Linked DNA regions of Tamandua tetradactyla. Each later gene encodes a partner of the first gene's protein in a complex. Links are inferred from orthologs where the notes say so. Each region holds a gene or a part of one and is shown on either strand. Other genes may lie near its edges.

Evidence for each region.
Region 2: SF3A3 (region 1) and SF3B2 share a complex: the UniProt entries of both Homo sapiens proteins name them as parts of the 17S U2 SnRNP complex. The link is inferred for Tamandua tetradactyla from reciprocal best matches to the Homo sapiens genes SF3A3 and SF3B2.
Region 3: SF3A3 (region 1) and SF3A2 share a complex: the UniProt entries of both Homo sapiens proteins name them as parts of the SF3A subcomplex of the 17S U2 SnRNP complex. The link is inferred for Tamandua tetradactyla from reciprocal best matches to the Homo sapiens genes SF3A3 and SF3A2.

What each region holds. Positions count from the first base shown.
Region 1 is NC_135328.1:187,345,627-187,349,373, forward strand, and holds the start of SF3A3 (splicing factor 3A subunit 3), read left to right. Parts: upstream 1-915; 5' UTR 916-994; coding exon 995-1,090; intron 1,091-1,370; coding exon 1,371-1,418; intron 1,419-2,664; coding exon 2,665-2,717; intron 2,718-2,822; coding exon 2,823-2,928; intron 2,929-3,747. UniProt on the Homo sapiens protein: Component of the 17S U2 SnRNP complex of the spliceosome, a large ribonucleoprotein complex that removes introns from transcribed pre-mRNAs.
Region 2 is NC_135335.1:8,380,970-8,384,716, reverse strand, and holds the start of SF3B2 (splicing factor 3B subunit 2), read left to right. Parts: upstream 1-1,081; 5' UTR 1,082-1,123; coding exon 1,124-1,256; intron 1,257-1,429; coding exon 1,430-1,476; intron 1,477-1,778; coding exon 1,779-1,856; intron 1,857-2,619; coding exon 2,620-2,868; intron 2,869-3,086; coding exon 3,087-3,137; intron 3,138-3,747. UniProt on the Homo sapiens protein: Component of the 17S U2 SnRNP complex of the spliceosome, a large ribonucleoprotein complex that removes introns from transcribed pre-mRNAs.
Region 3 is NC_135337.1:80,640,363-80,644,109, reverse strand, and holds the start of SF3A2 (splicing factor 3A subunit 2), read left to right. Parts: upstream 1-1,331; 5' UTR 1,332-1,821; intron 1,822-3,747. Other genes in the region: PLEKHJ1 (pleckstrin homology domain-containing family J member 1), read right to left, coding at 597-663, 946-1,013, 1,138-1,231. UniProt on the Homo sapiens protein: Component of the 17S U2 SnRNP complex of the spliceosome, a large ribonucleoprotein complex that removes introns from transcribed pre-mRNAs.

The DNA.
Region 1 (3,747 bases):
TGTGTTCTTGACTTTAACTCTCAAAGTTCACTCATTAATATTAGTTCAAACTGGTGAGCCCATACAGTTTTTGTCCTTTTGTTTCTGGCTAATTTCACTTAGCATAATATCCTCAAGGTTCATCCACAGCTACATGCTTCATGATTTTATTCTGTTTTACAGCTGTGTAATACTCTATAGTATGATTACACCACACCTTGTTTAGCCACTCGACTGTTGACCGACATTTGGGCTGCTTTCATCCGTTGGCAATCGTAAATAATACTGCTATAAACATCAATGTACAAATGTCCATTTGTGTCATTGCCTTCAGTTCCTCTGAATAGATACCTAGCAATGGGATTGCTGGATCATATGGCCATCTCATACTTAGCTTCCTGAGGAACTGCCAAACTGCCTTACAGAGCGGTTGTACCATTTTACACTCCCACCAACAGTGGATAAGTTTGCCTCTTTCTCCACATCCTCTCCAGCACTTGTCATTTTCTGTTTCCTTCCTAAGAAAAAAAAGAAAAAAGCTATCGTCCCCGTTTTGTTGACATGACGCTGAGGTCCAGAGAGGGTAAAACGTTATGAAAGGTCACACTGAAAACTAGAGACCCAGCTTCCGGATTCCCAACCCCCATCCCGTGCCCTTCAACTATTCTTCAGAACAGTCTCCTTCCTTGCAGGTGTCCTAGGCCACGCCAACCCGGGGAAGCCCCAGGAAGTCCACGGTTTAACCTCAGGTTCCTGGATTTCCGAACGCCCCCTAAAGGCGTCTGCAAACCTCCCACTTCGCTCCACCACACTCATGACCAGCAGGGGTCACTGCAGTCATCGCAACAGCACAGCCTGGCTCTACTCCTGGTGCTCACTTCCCCGAGACACTTCCGGCACGTGCGGAACTTTGGTGCAGCCGGATGAGCAGCGTGGGGATGCAAGCGCGCGCGGCGGCAGTAGTTGCTTCCGGCCGCGTCGGTGGACTGAATTGAGATCTATCGCGGAGGGGAAGATGGAGACGATACTGGAGCAGCAGCGGCGATACCATGAGGAGAAGGAACGGCTCATGGACGTCATGGCTAAAGAGATGCTTACTAAGAAGTCCACGGTGAGTGGGGCCAGAGCAGGGGCTACATCTGAGGTTAAGCTCCTAGCCCAGTGTTTAGCCTCCGAGAGCTTTCTTTGACCCCCAGACCCTCTCGCGCCCCTCCCCCTGCCCCGGCGCGGGGCTCCCTCTCCAAGCTCCGGCTTTGGTAACCGCCTGCATGGGCCTAGCGTCTTAGAGGCCTCTGTAGTTCTGCAACTCAGACCTGGGCGGGTAAATTTAGCCCTGGGGCGGCTTTTCCGATTCCAGGACGGAAACTAACGGCGTCTGTGTTTAATTTCAGCTCCGGGACCAGATTAATTCTGACCACCGCACACGAGCCATGCAGGATGTGAGTGCTCCGCTGTCCGGTTTTCTTTGAGTCGGGAGGGCACCGGGAATGGTGGGAAGAGAGGATGCGGGGTGCGGGATCTCACTTTGAGCCCTGGCCAGAGGTAGCCGGATTGACTGGTTGAGGGTTGCTTGGTTGGAGTAGATGTCCACTCAACTCCCTAACCCGAAGATACTGAACTGTCTTTATTTTCTTCTCTGAGAAGGAAACCTAGTCATTTTTTCATTATTAAGAAAGACACTACTTATAGCGTCCTGTGTCTCTTGAATGTGCAAATAGTAGCTATGGGGAGTCAGCGATTCTAGCAAAGAGGATATTATCCAATCCCTCCAAAAGAGAAAGCTCAGTATGTTTTCCTCTCAGACTATTGTGTTCTAAATTTGCTACCAAACTGCATTTGCCCAGTAATTATTGAAGCTGGCTGATGAGTAAATAGAAGTTTATAATGCTGTGCTATTTTGTGTATCTTTGAAATCTGTCTAGAAAGGAATAAAAGGCAATCAGAGCTTCTCATTTGTAGGAGGTGATCAGTGTTTCAGGCCCCCAGGCCTTAATCCAAATTCTCAAATCTAGTTTTGGGTGTATGTGTGTAAATCGTTTAACAGCAAAACCTGACCTAAACAAGATGAGAGACTTGTTATAGCCTTTATTTATCCCACTTAATAAATGTGCAGAAATTTCATCACAGAGCTATTAATGTGCCTATTAATATCTGTTAACATTCCAGGTTGCTTTGGGATGTTACATAATTTGTAGTCTCTTCCTGAACTCTTTAAAAAAATCCGAATTCTGAAACAGATTTGATCCCCCAAATTTTGGAGACGTTATTGTGACTCTATACCATACCTAGTTAATATGTTTTGGATCTAGAAAAAAAGCTGTATTGTTTAGTTAACCTGTGTGCTCATTCAAGCTTGTTGAAATACTGAAAATCTTTGAGGGCCTCAGGTGGAAACTTTTGCTTAGCCAAAGGGGATAAATCTTTTATAGGAAAAGTTAGGCATCTGTAAGATGTAGAGAGGGAGCTGCTACCCCTCAAATCCTATCGTTTAAGTAATCTTCAGATCAGCCTGTTTTAAAAACTAACCAAAACCTGGGCTACTGATAGGTACTAGAAAATACCAGAACGTTTAACATTATACCTCCTGAGGTTTCCCTGGGCTGTAACTAGAGAACCCTTGTTGATTGCTTAACTCTACAGTTGTACAAGTTACTTCGTTTTAATGGGTTTGTATTTGCCTTTCAGAGGTATATGGAGGTCAGCGGGAACCTGAGGGATTTGTATGACGATAAGGATGGGTAAGTGATAGTCATAGCCAATCCAGGAGTTAGTACTTCTGAGGAACTGAGGTTAAAAGACTGACTTTGTGCTCTATGCCCTTTCGATTTTTCCTGAAATTGCAGGTTACGAAAGGAGGAGCTCAATGCCATTTCAGGACCCAATGAATTTGCTGAATTCTACAACAGACTTAAGCAAATAAAGGAATTCCACCGAAAGCACCCAAATGAGGTATAATAGCCAAAATAGGGTATTTTCTCCAGACCTCACCATAAAGCATACTAAAGGAAAGGTTAAAGAAAATGGAGGCGTGATACTCAGATGTCCCTTAAGAAAAAACTTGCCATTTAGCTGCAAGGAACGTAGCTAGTGGACAGCCTGCAACTATAGTGCTTTCAAGATCCTTATCAGCTTTTAAGTCATGCTCTTTCTGGGAGCTCCCAGCCAGCGATTGAATACAGCTGGGAATCTAGGTCCTGGCCATTTCTTCCCAACGTGGGAGTAATCTTTACTCCAGAGTTCCCTACTTGGTTAGTCAAGATTGTGTCTGATCTGTCATGGTATAGACTTACCCTGCCCAATCTTACTTTATACTCCTTTTTATCTTTCATGGGCATTACCCTCAATAAACGCCTATGTTCCTAATTCTGTCTCAAGATCCCCCTCTTAGAGGACCCAGCTAACACAAAGATGATTTATTCCCAATGTCCATTACACCTTTAGGATCCAGCCCAGAGGCCAACTTTCATGAAATACCTTTTCCACTCTATGTCTCCCAAATTAGTGTTCCTTTTCCTTATGATCCTATTGTATTCTGTTTTCTGTCCATAGTGATTACCACTTTCTGGTTTGTAACAATGTCCACCCACTATATTGAAAAATCATAGGGAGCAGGGATTGTGCTGTCATTAGAACCTGCTAAGCACCTTGCACACTCCCCAAAGGAATATCTGGAGTGTGTGTGGGGGGGTGAGGTGTGGCACAGCTACAGAAAAGATAGGGATGAATCAGAAATTATTCTGAGCTTTCATGACTGTATAACTGGGAAGA
Region 2 (3,747 bases), on another chromosome or scaffold:
TAAATGAGACAACTGAACTAGGGCTCTCTCTTTCTCACCCAACACGCGCGAGCGCGCGGACGGACACACACACACACACACACACACACACACAAACACACACACACACAAACACACACACACAGTGAGCCTGGCTGTCAGTGAGGGTGAGGAGCTAGTTTCAGCAAAGAGCCCCTGCCCATCCCTGCCTCACGGCGCAGAGGCCACTTGGGAGAGGGCTGGCGAGGCTTAAGGAAGAAAAGTCCCTGAGTTCATTTTCGAGACGAAGAATTTGCAACTCTTGACGCCAGAAAGATTGTTCCATTTAGTCTTTTTCATTTACTGAGCGCCATTTCAGTGCCAGGTACTGCGACACAGTAAATAGATCAGCTCTCTGCTCACATTCCTGGAGATGGGGTGGAGGTGAGGAGAAAGGGCAGAATACAGACTTGAGTAGTGGAGGTTTGAAAGTGCTTTGGGAGCTCCAAAGGAAAGGGAAGTGGGAGAAGACTTAGCGGAGCGGACAACATCTGAGTCGACCTGGAAGGTGGAAAGGGGGGCTGTAGTGTCGCCCTCCCCGCCCCCAGGTCGGCAGCTGGAGCTCGGCCCGGTCGGGCCTGCTCCTCTCCCGGCTCCGATCCCCTTTCAGTCCATTCATCCATGCCTGGGCCGTGGGCGGGCGGGCAGACAATCAGACCCTGTGTTATCGCAGGCATCGGCTTCCACCTCCGGCTTAGCGGCCGTAACGCGTGGCCGCATTGGTGATGAATCTCTCGGGACTGCCCGATCAAGGGAGTCGGGTCGGAAGGCTCAGCAGGGAGACGTTGAAAGCACTCCCTCGGGCCAGGAGGCGCTCCCACCGCAGCACCACCCACGCTTCGGCCCGGGTGTTTCCCAGCGGCGTCGCTGGCTCTCATATATAGTGGCTTGAGTACTACAACTCCCAGAAGGCTTCGCGACTCGCTATGTAAGGACCATTGGAGAAAGGGCGCGTCTACGGGGACGCAATTGGGGGCGGGCCTCGATCAGAAAGTACTCCCAACCGCGAGAGGACGTAGCGTATGGCGTTGCCGGAAGTTCCGGGAATTGGGCCCGGAGGCTGGCTCGAGCTTCCGGATTGGTTGCGCGCCTTCGTGCGGCTAAGATGGCGGCCGACCATCCCGAACCTCCCAAAGGGGACTTGCAGCTGCCGCCGCCGCCACCCCCAGGGCACTATGGCGCTTGGGCTGCCCAAGAGCTTCAGGCGAAGCTGGCAGAGATCGGAGCTCCGATCCAGGGTGAGGAGCGTTGGAAGCCAAAAGGGACTCGCGTGGAACTACGAGGAAGCGGAGCTTGGTTACCCGGGAGACCTGGGGACCGCGGGACAAGGCTGGTCTCTGGGCCTGGACCGGGTCAGACTGGCCTGCTCCGGCCTGACCTGCCTCACTGATCCTATAACTTTGCCCTGCAGGGAGTCGCGAGGAGCTGGTGGAGCGATTGCAGAGTTACACCCGCCAGGTAAGTGCTCGCCGCGGAATGGCAGGATAGGCCGTTTCTCGAGAAGGACTTTAAGTCCATTCATGGCTCGATTTTCGTTCTTTATGCACCTTAGGACATCGGGGGCTTGCTCTCTTTGCCTCTCTTGCCTTTTCCTGCTCTGTCTTAATCGTTTCTGTGCATGTGGGTCTTCCCCATTGCCCAGCCTGAGTTCTGGCAGACAAACACTGGATAAATAGTGTTCAGTGAATGGGACGGAACGTTTTTTACCGTAACAGTTCCTCTTGGACTCACCTACATTGACCTCCTTTTCGCTTTTGCAGACTGGCATAGTGCTGAATCGGTCGGTTCTAAGAGGGGAAGATGGGGATAAAACTGCGCCCCCTCCCATGTCAGCACAGGTGAGGAGGTTGTTTCGTGTTATAAGGTCCTTCGCAGGCTCCGCCCTCCTCTCGAATGTGGTGTACTGGGTTTGCAGCTATCAGATTGGGCAGGGAGATATTGTGAGGACATACTGGGAGCTCTTCATTTCTTTCTTGGTCCTGATATTTGCCTCCTTTCTCAATGTCAGCTCCTCCAAATTCTACCTGTAGTTCAGGACTCAGCGTAAATACCTGGAAGCCTGACATGATGCTCCCTTCCTGGAAGTAATTATCCTTTTCCATGCCCTCCAAGGGGATAATTCCCATGTCATTCAGTGAGACATTTAAAGCCAACTCTCTGAATTGATTGCATACTCCCTGCAATTATTAGGGTTTGCTGGGTGCCCTGGTACACTGTAAATTTAATTCCTTGTAACATCTATGCTCCTTCTGATTCAGGTTTTTTTCTGATTTTGCTTCTTTTTCTCTAAAGCAGTGGCTCTGACCTGGGGTCCATTGACCTCTGTGTGGCATGAGGAGTCCCTAGATAGCCTTTAGAAGTATCCCTGAATCTCCTGAAATTATGCAAGATCTGCACTCATGATCATTTTGTGGGGAGAGAGTTGATAGCTTTCTTCAGTTAATGGTCCATAGTTAATAGTCTCTTTTCTTGATATTGCTATGGTGCATTCTCTTCTTGAATGAAAGAATCCCAGTACCTGTTTCATAATACGTCCCCAAAACATATTTGCAGAATAAATAGATAAATGCTTTCTACTTTATGGTTGTATTTTCTCCACAGCTCTCTGGGATTCCCATGCCACCTCCACCCATGGGGCTTCCTCCTCTGCAGCCTCCTCCGCCACCCCCACCACCTCCACCAGGCCTTGGCCTTGGTTTTCCTATGGGAGTTGGACCCCACCCACCAAGCTTGGGGCCCCCACCTCCCCTCCGTGTGGGTGAGCCTGTGGCACTTTCAGAGGAGGAACGGCTGAAGCTGGCACAACAGCAGGCAGCGTTGCTGATGCAGCAAGAGGAGCGTGCCAAGCAGGTAGGGTAGATGGAAGCCTATGCTTAGGCCTCACCAGGCCCCTGAAGGGGGAGCAGAGCCCCAGAGAGAGCTGGATCCTGGGGCTGAAGCTTTCAGGAAGCTCTGGACCAAGGACTAGAACATAGGCCTTAGGCTGGTAGAGCACCCTAGGAAGCCGAGTTGTGGCAGACTGGCCTGCGGGGTATCGGTGCTGGTATGAGCTTGTTTTCTTTTTTAAGCAGGGAGATCATTCACTGAAGGAACATGAGCTCTTGGAGCAGCAGAAGCGGGTAATGCCCCTCCCCCTAACCTCTGACCTCATGGTCCAGTCAGTTGACTGTTATTTTCTGCTTACTGCCCAAAATGAGATGCCCCATTCAAGTTTTCTTTGGAAGCTCCCTCATCCCCAACTATGTTCCATTATTTCCTTAGTAATTCCAGTCATTCTGTAGTCCAGGGGTTGTCAAATTATGGCCTGTGCCTATTTTTGTACAGCCTGTAAATTGAGAATTTTTAAAATATATTTCAAGGGCTGTAAAAACAAACATGCAAAAAGGAAAACCAAGAACATGCAACAGAATCCGTTTGTGGCCTATAAAAGCCACAGTCCAGCTCTTTACAGAAAAAGTTTGCTAGCCCCTGCGAGGTCTTAAATGATGTCACTTTAGGTTCCTTGGAGAGAAATTTTGGCTCATTTATCCGTTTTTATAGGTGTTAGACTGTCTAATATGAGGAATATAAGTTTGGGGATGATGAGTCAGATGTTATCCCTAGAGGTGCATTGTTTTAATTATCTAATGGGTTACCTGGGAGTATTTAAAAAACAGCATTAAGAGTAACAGATGAGAAAATACTTATGAAGTACTATCTTTGTACCCAGATTGTGCTTGCTCCTGGGGA
Region 3 (3,747 bases), on another chromosome or scaffold:
TGGGCTCTCCACATTAACTCTCAAGATATGAACAGAACACAAAGGCTTCCTTTGGGGCACTGGTAACACTGGACGCTAGCACCACGGCCCTGATCGTGGGCCTTCATCCGCCAGGAAGGCCAGCTCCAACGTCCCCACCTCCAGCAGTTTTCCTGCCCACACCCAACCCCAACCCTAAACACACTAGGCTGGGTATTTCTGTACCAGACTCCATCTGTCCCTGCACATGTGAGACCCTCAAGAAGATGGCCTGGGGAGAATCCTCTCAGGAGGCAGCACAAACCCAAACACTGAGGGAGATAACCACCCAAGCGCCCCAAGAGGGCAATGCTTAACCCTAAAGAATGACAAGGTCCAAATGGAGTTCTGGGAGGCTGCTACGAAGTCTCCAGGATGGTTGGGTGCATGCAATCAGCCCCAGTGACCGCAGCCTGGGGCCCTCGGGAGAGAGCAAAGTCTGGGGGGAGGCCCAGCCTGAAGGGAGAGGCTGCGCCTCAGAGAGCCGACCTTGAGAAAAAGGACTTTGTGTCGGGACAGAGGTGGTGTCAGGCTGGGGAGGGGATGGTGGGGAGTCCTTGTCCCCTGGCCCCACTCACTGATGGAGAAGACGCTGGGCTCTTCCTTGGCGACTCTGCAGTGCTCCAATAACAGGGCTCCGATGGGCTGGAGGAGACAGAGGAGCAGATGCGGAGAGCAGGCCAGGACCTGGGCCCCCACTTCACAGGAGGCTTGTACCTCCCCTGACCTCGGCTCCCTCCCCAGCCGAGCGGCAGGTTCCAGGTGGAAAGGATGCAGACAGATGGTTTTCGACCAGCAAACCACGGCACCCCTGGGTCAGACGATCTGGGGGAGTGAAGAGGCCGAGGGGCGAGAGACTGTACCCCGCGCACCCTTTCTGCTCCCGCCTTCCTGGGACCTCCCCCTTTCCGCGGACGGCGCCCCTACCTCGGCTTCGTCCGTCCGGAAATAGAAGAGGAAATTTACCACTAGCTTCACCAGCCGTCGCTTCACCACTGTGGGCACAGAGCGGGCTCAGGGCGGGCGGCCCAGGGGCCAGCCCCGCGCCCAGCCATCCAGTTAATCGGGTCCCCCGAAATGCGGAAAGCCGAACGCCCCAGTTTCTCGGGCCCCGCTCACCGCTGCCCTTCTTGGGGCCCCGCATGCCCAGCTCGGCCGCCATTTCGGCCGGCTGCCGCGACAGCGCCTGCAGCTCCTTCTCGTTGTAGCGCATGGCGCCGCGGAAGGGAGAACGCTGGACCCCGGTCCGTCGCCTGCGGCCAGCGCCAAAAAGGTCTCAACGCACAGTACCGGAAGTGCTGCCACAGCCAGTGCGCCTGCGCACTCCCTGGCCGGCCACTCTGTCGATTACCTGAGTGTAGCGATGGGGTCCGCAGGCGAGGGGTGCATAGGGGACTTGGACGGTCGTTACAAGGTCACAGAATAAACTGGACCTGGGGTGAAAACAGAATCAGGTCCACCCCACGATTGCTAGCATCCTTCACTAAAGCGGAGAGTACGGGCGGGAAGGACTCTCAGCGGGCTCTGCCCGGAGGGCTGACCCCCACGCGACGCGGAGCAAATCCGGAGGGCGTTGAAAGTTGTGCGCACGCGCACTGCGGCTGCCAGCCAGGCCTCCCAGCCCCGCCCTCTTCCCGCGCTTTCCGAGCGGTTCGCCCGAGCCGCCGGGCGAGCCGGGCATGCGCACGTGGCAGGACCCGCCCCACTTGCCCCCGGAAATGCTTTCTTAGCCTACGACGCGCGCGCGGGTGAGGTCGTGGCGACCACTGAAAGCGGGGACGGCTTGTGCTCCCTCGGACGCTGGTGAGGAGCGGCGTGGATGATGGTGGTGGGCTCTGGGTCCTGGGCTTCCTTGTAGGGTTCCGCGTGTGGGAGGGGGCATCTGCGACGGGCCGCGCGGCTGGAGGCCGCGAGCTGAGGAGCGAGCGGCCTAGCGGTCTTCCTCGGGCTCACTGTGCGGGCCTGAGGCCGGGTCCCGCCCCCAGGAGGGGCGAGGCCAACACGCCCCAGACCCTGTCCCCTCCCGGCGGGGCCGCGGTGTGGCGAGCCCTCTGCTGAGACAAAACTTGCCTTTTAGCTGTCGGACTTTGGGACCTTGGGGAGGGGGTGTCGCTTCGCGTCTGGGAACCTCAGTTTCCGTCTCTGTAAGACGAGGGGTGTGGGCGATCACTGCCGCTACTAAATTAAATCAGGTCGTGTCAGGGAGAGCGTGGAATACCTTCCGAGGGCACCCAGGAAATGTTAGCGGGCCCGTTTTGCATATGAGCCCAGAGGTTACCTGATCGCCCAGGTAGTCATTGTTTGATGGCCCGTGACCGCCGATCTGTGGTCCCTGAGGGCAGGTGGAAAACCTGGGAGGAACTCTGCGGAAAAGTGTGCTAGATTTAAGGAAATTACCGTATTTTCATCGGGCACTATAACCCCTACTCCTTCATGCAGTCTCAGGCCTCAGAGGCCGCTTTTCATGTTTTTAAAGCCGTTCTCCCTGTTCTCTGTCTTGGTAAATAAATTAACTTCTTTCTGGACTTACCAGTTTTAGTCACAGTCTGCTGCTTTTCCACCGTAGTTGGTGAGAACTGACTTCTCCCACGCGCTGCAACATCTGCGTCCAAACCTTGCGATTACATTGCAACTTTTAGTCAAACCCTTAGTTGTATTTTCTAGTACTATAAATGTGTGTGGTTCGTCGCTAATGCGTTGTAAGGCGTGCCTTCTTTCGTCTACCATTACTTTTTCATCAATCCTTGTTTTCCTGTTTGCCTGGTTTTCTTTTTTTTAAAATTTATTTATTAATTTAAAAATAAAATAAAACAACATACATAATCAGTAATTCACAATATCATCACTTAGTTGCATATTCATTTCTTAGAACATTTGCATTAATTCAGAAAAAGAACTAAAAAGACAATAGAAAAAGAAATAAAACGAACACAGGAAAGAAAATAAAAAAGATTATACCTACCATACCCCTTACCCCTTGCTTTCGTTGATCACTAGCATTTAAACTAAATTTATTTTAGCATTTATTCCCCCTATTATTTATTTTTATTCCATATGTTCTACTCCTTTGTTGACAAGGTAGATAAAAGGAACATCAGACACAAGGTTTTCACAATCACACAGTCCCATTGTGACAGCTGTATCATTATTTAATCATCCTCAAGAAGCATGGCTACTGGAACACAGCTCTACATTTTCAGGCAGTTCCCTCCAGCCTCTCCATTACATCTTGAATAACAAGATGATATCTACTTGATGCATAAGAATAACCTCCAGGATAACCTCTCCAATCTGTTTGGAATCTCTCAGCCATTGACACTTTGTCTCATTTCCCTCTTCCCCCTTTTGGTGGAGAAGGTTTTCTCAATCCCTTGATGCTAAATCTGAGCTCGTTCTAGGGTTTTTCTTAATCCCTTGATGCTGAGTCTCCAGTCATTCCAAGATCTCTGTCCCACGTTGCCAGGAAGGTCCACACCCCTGGGAGTCACGTCCCACATAGAGAGGGTTAGGGTGGTGAGACTGCTCGTTGTGTTGGCTGGAGAAAGGGGCCACATCTGAGCAACAAAAGAGACTCTCTTGGGGGTGACTCTTAGGCCTAAATTTTAAGTAGGCTTGAGCTATCCTTTGCGGGGTTAAGTTTCATGTGAACAAACCCCAAGACTGGGGGCTCTGCCTATAGCTTTGGTTGTCCACTCTGCTTGTGAGAATATCAAGAATTCAACTTGGGGA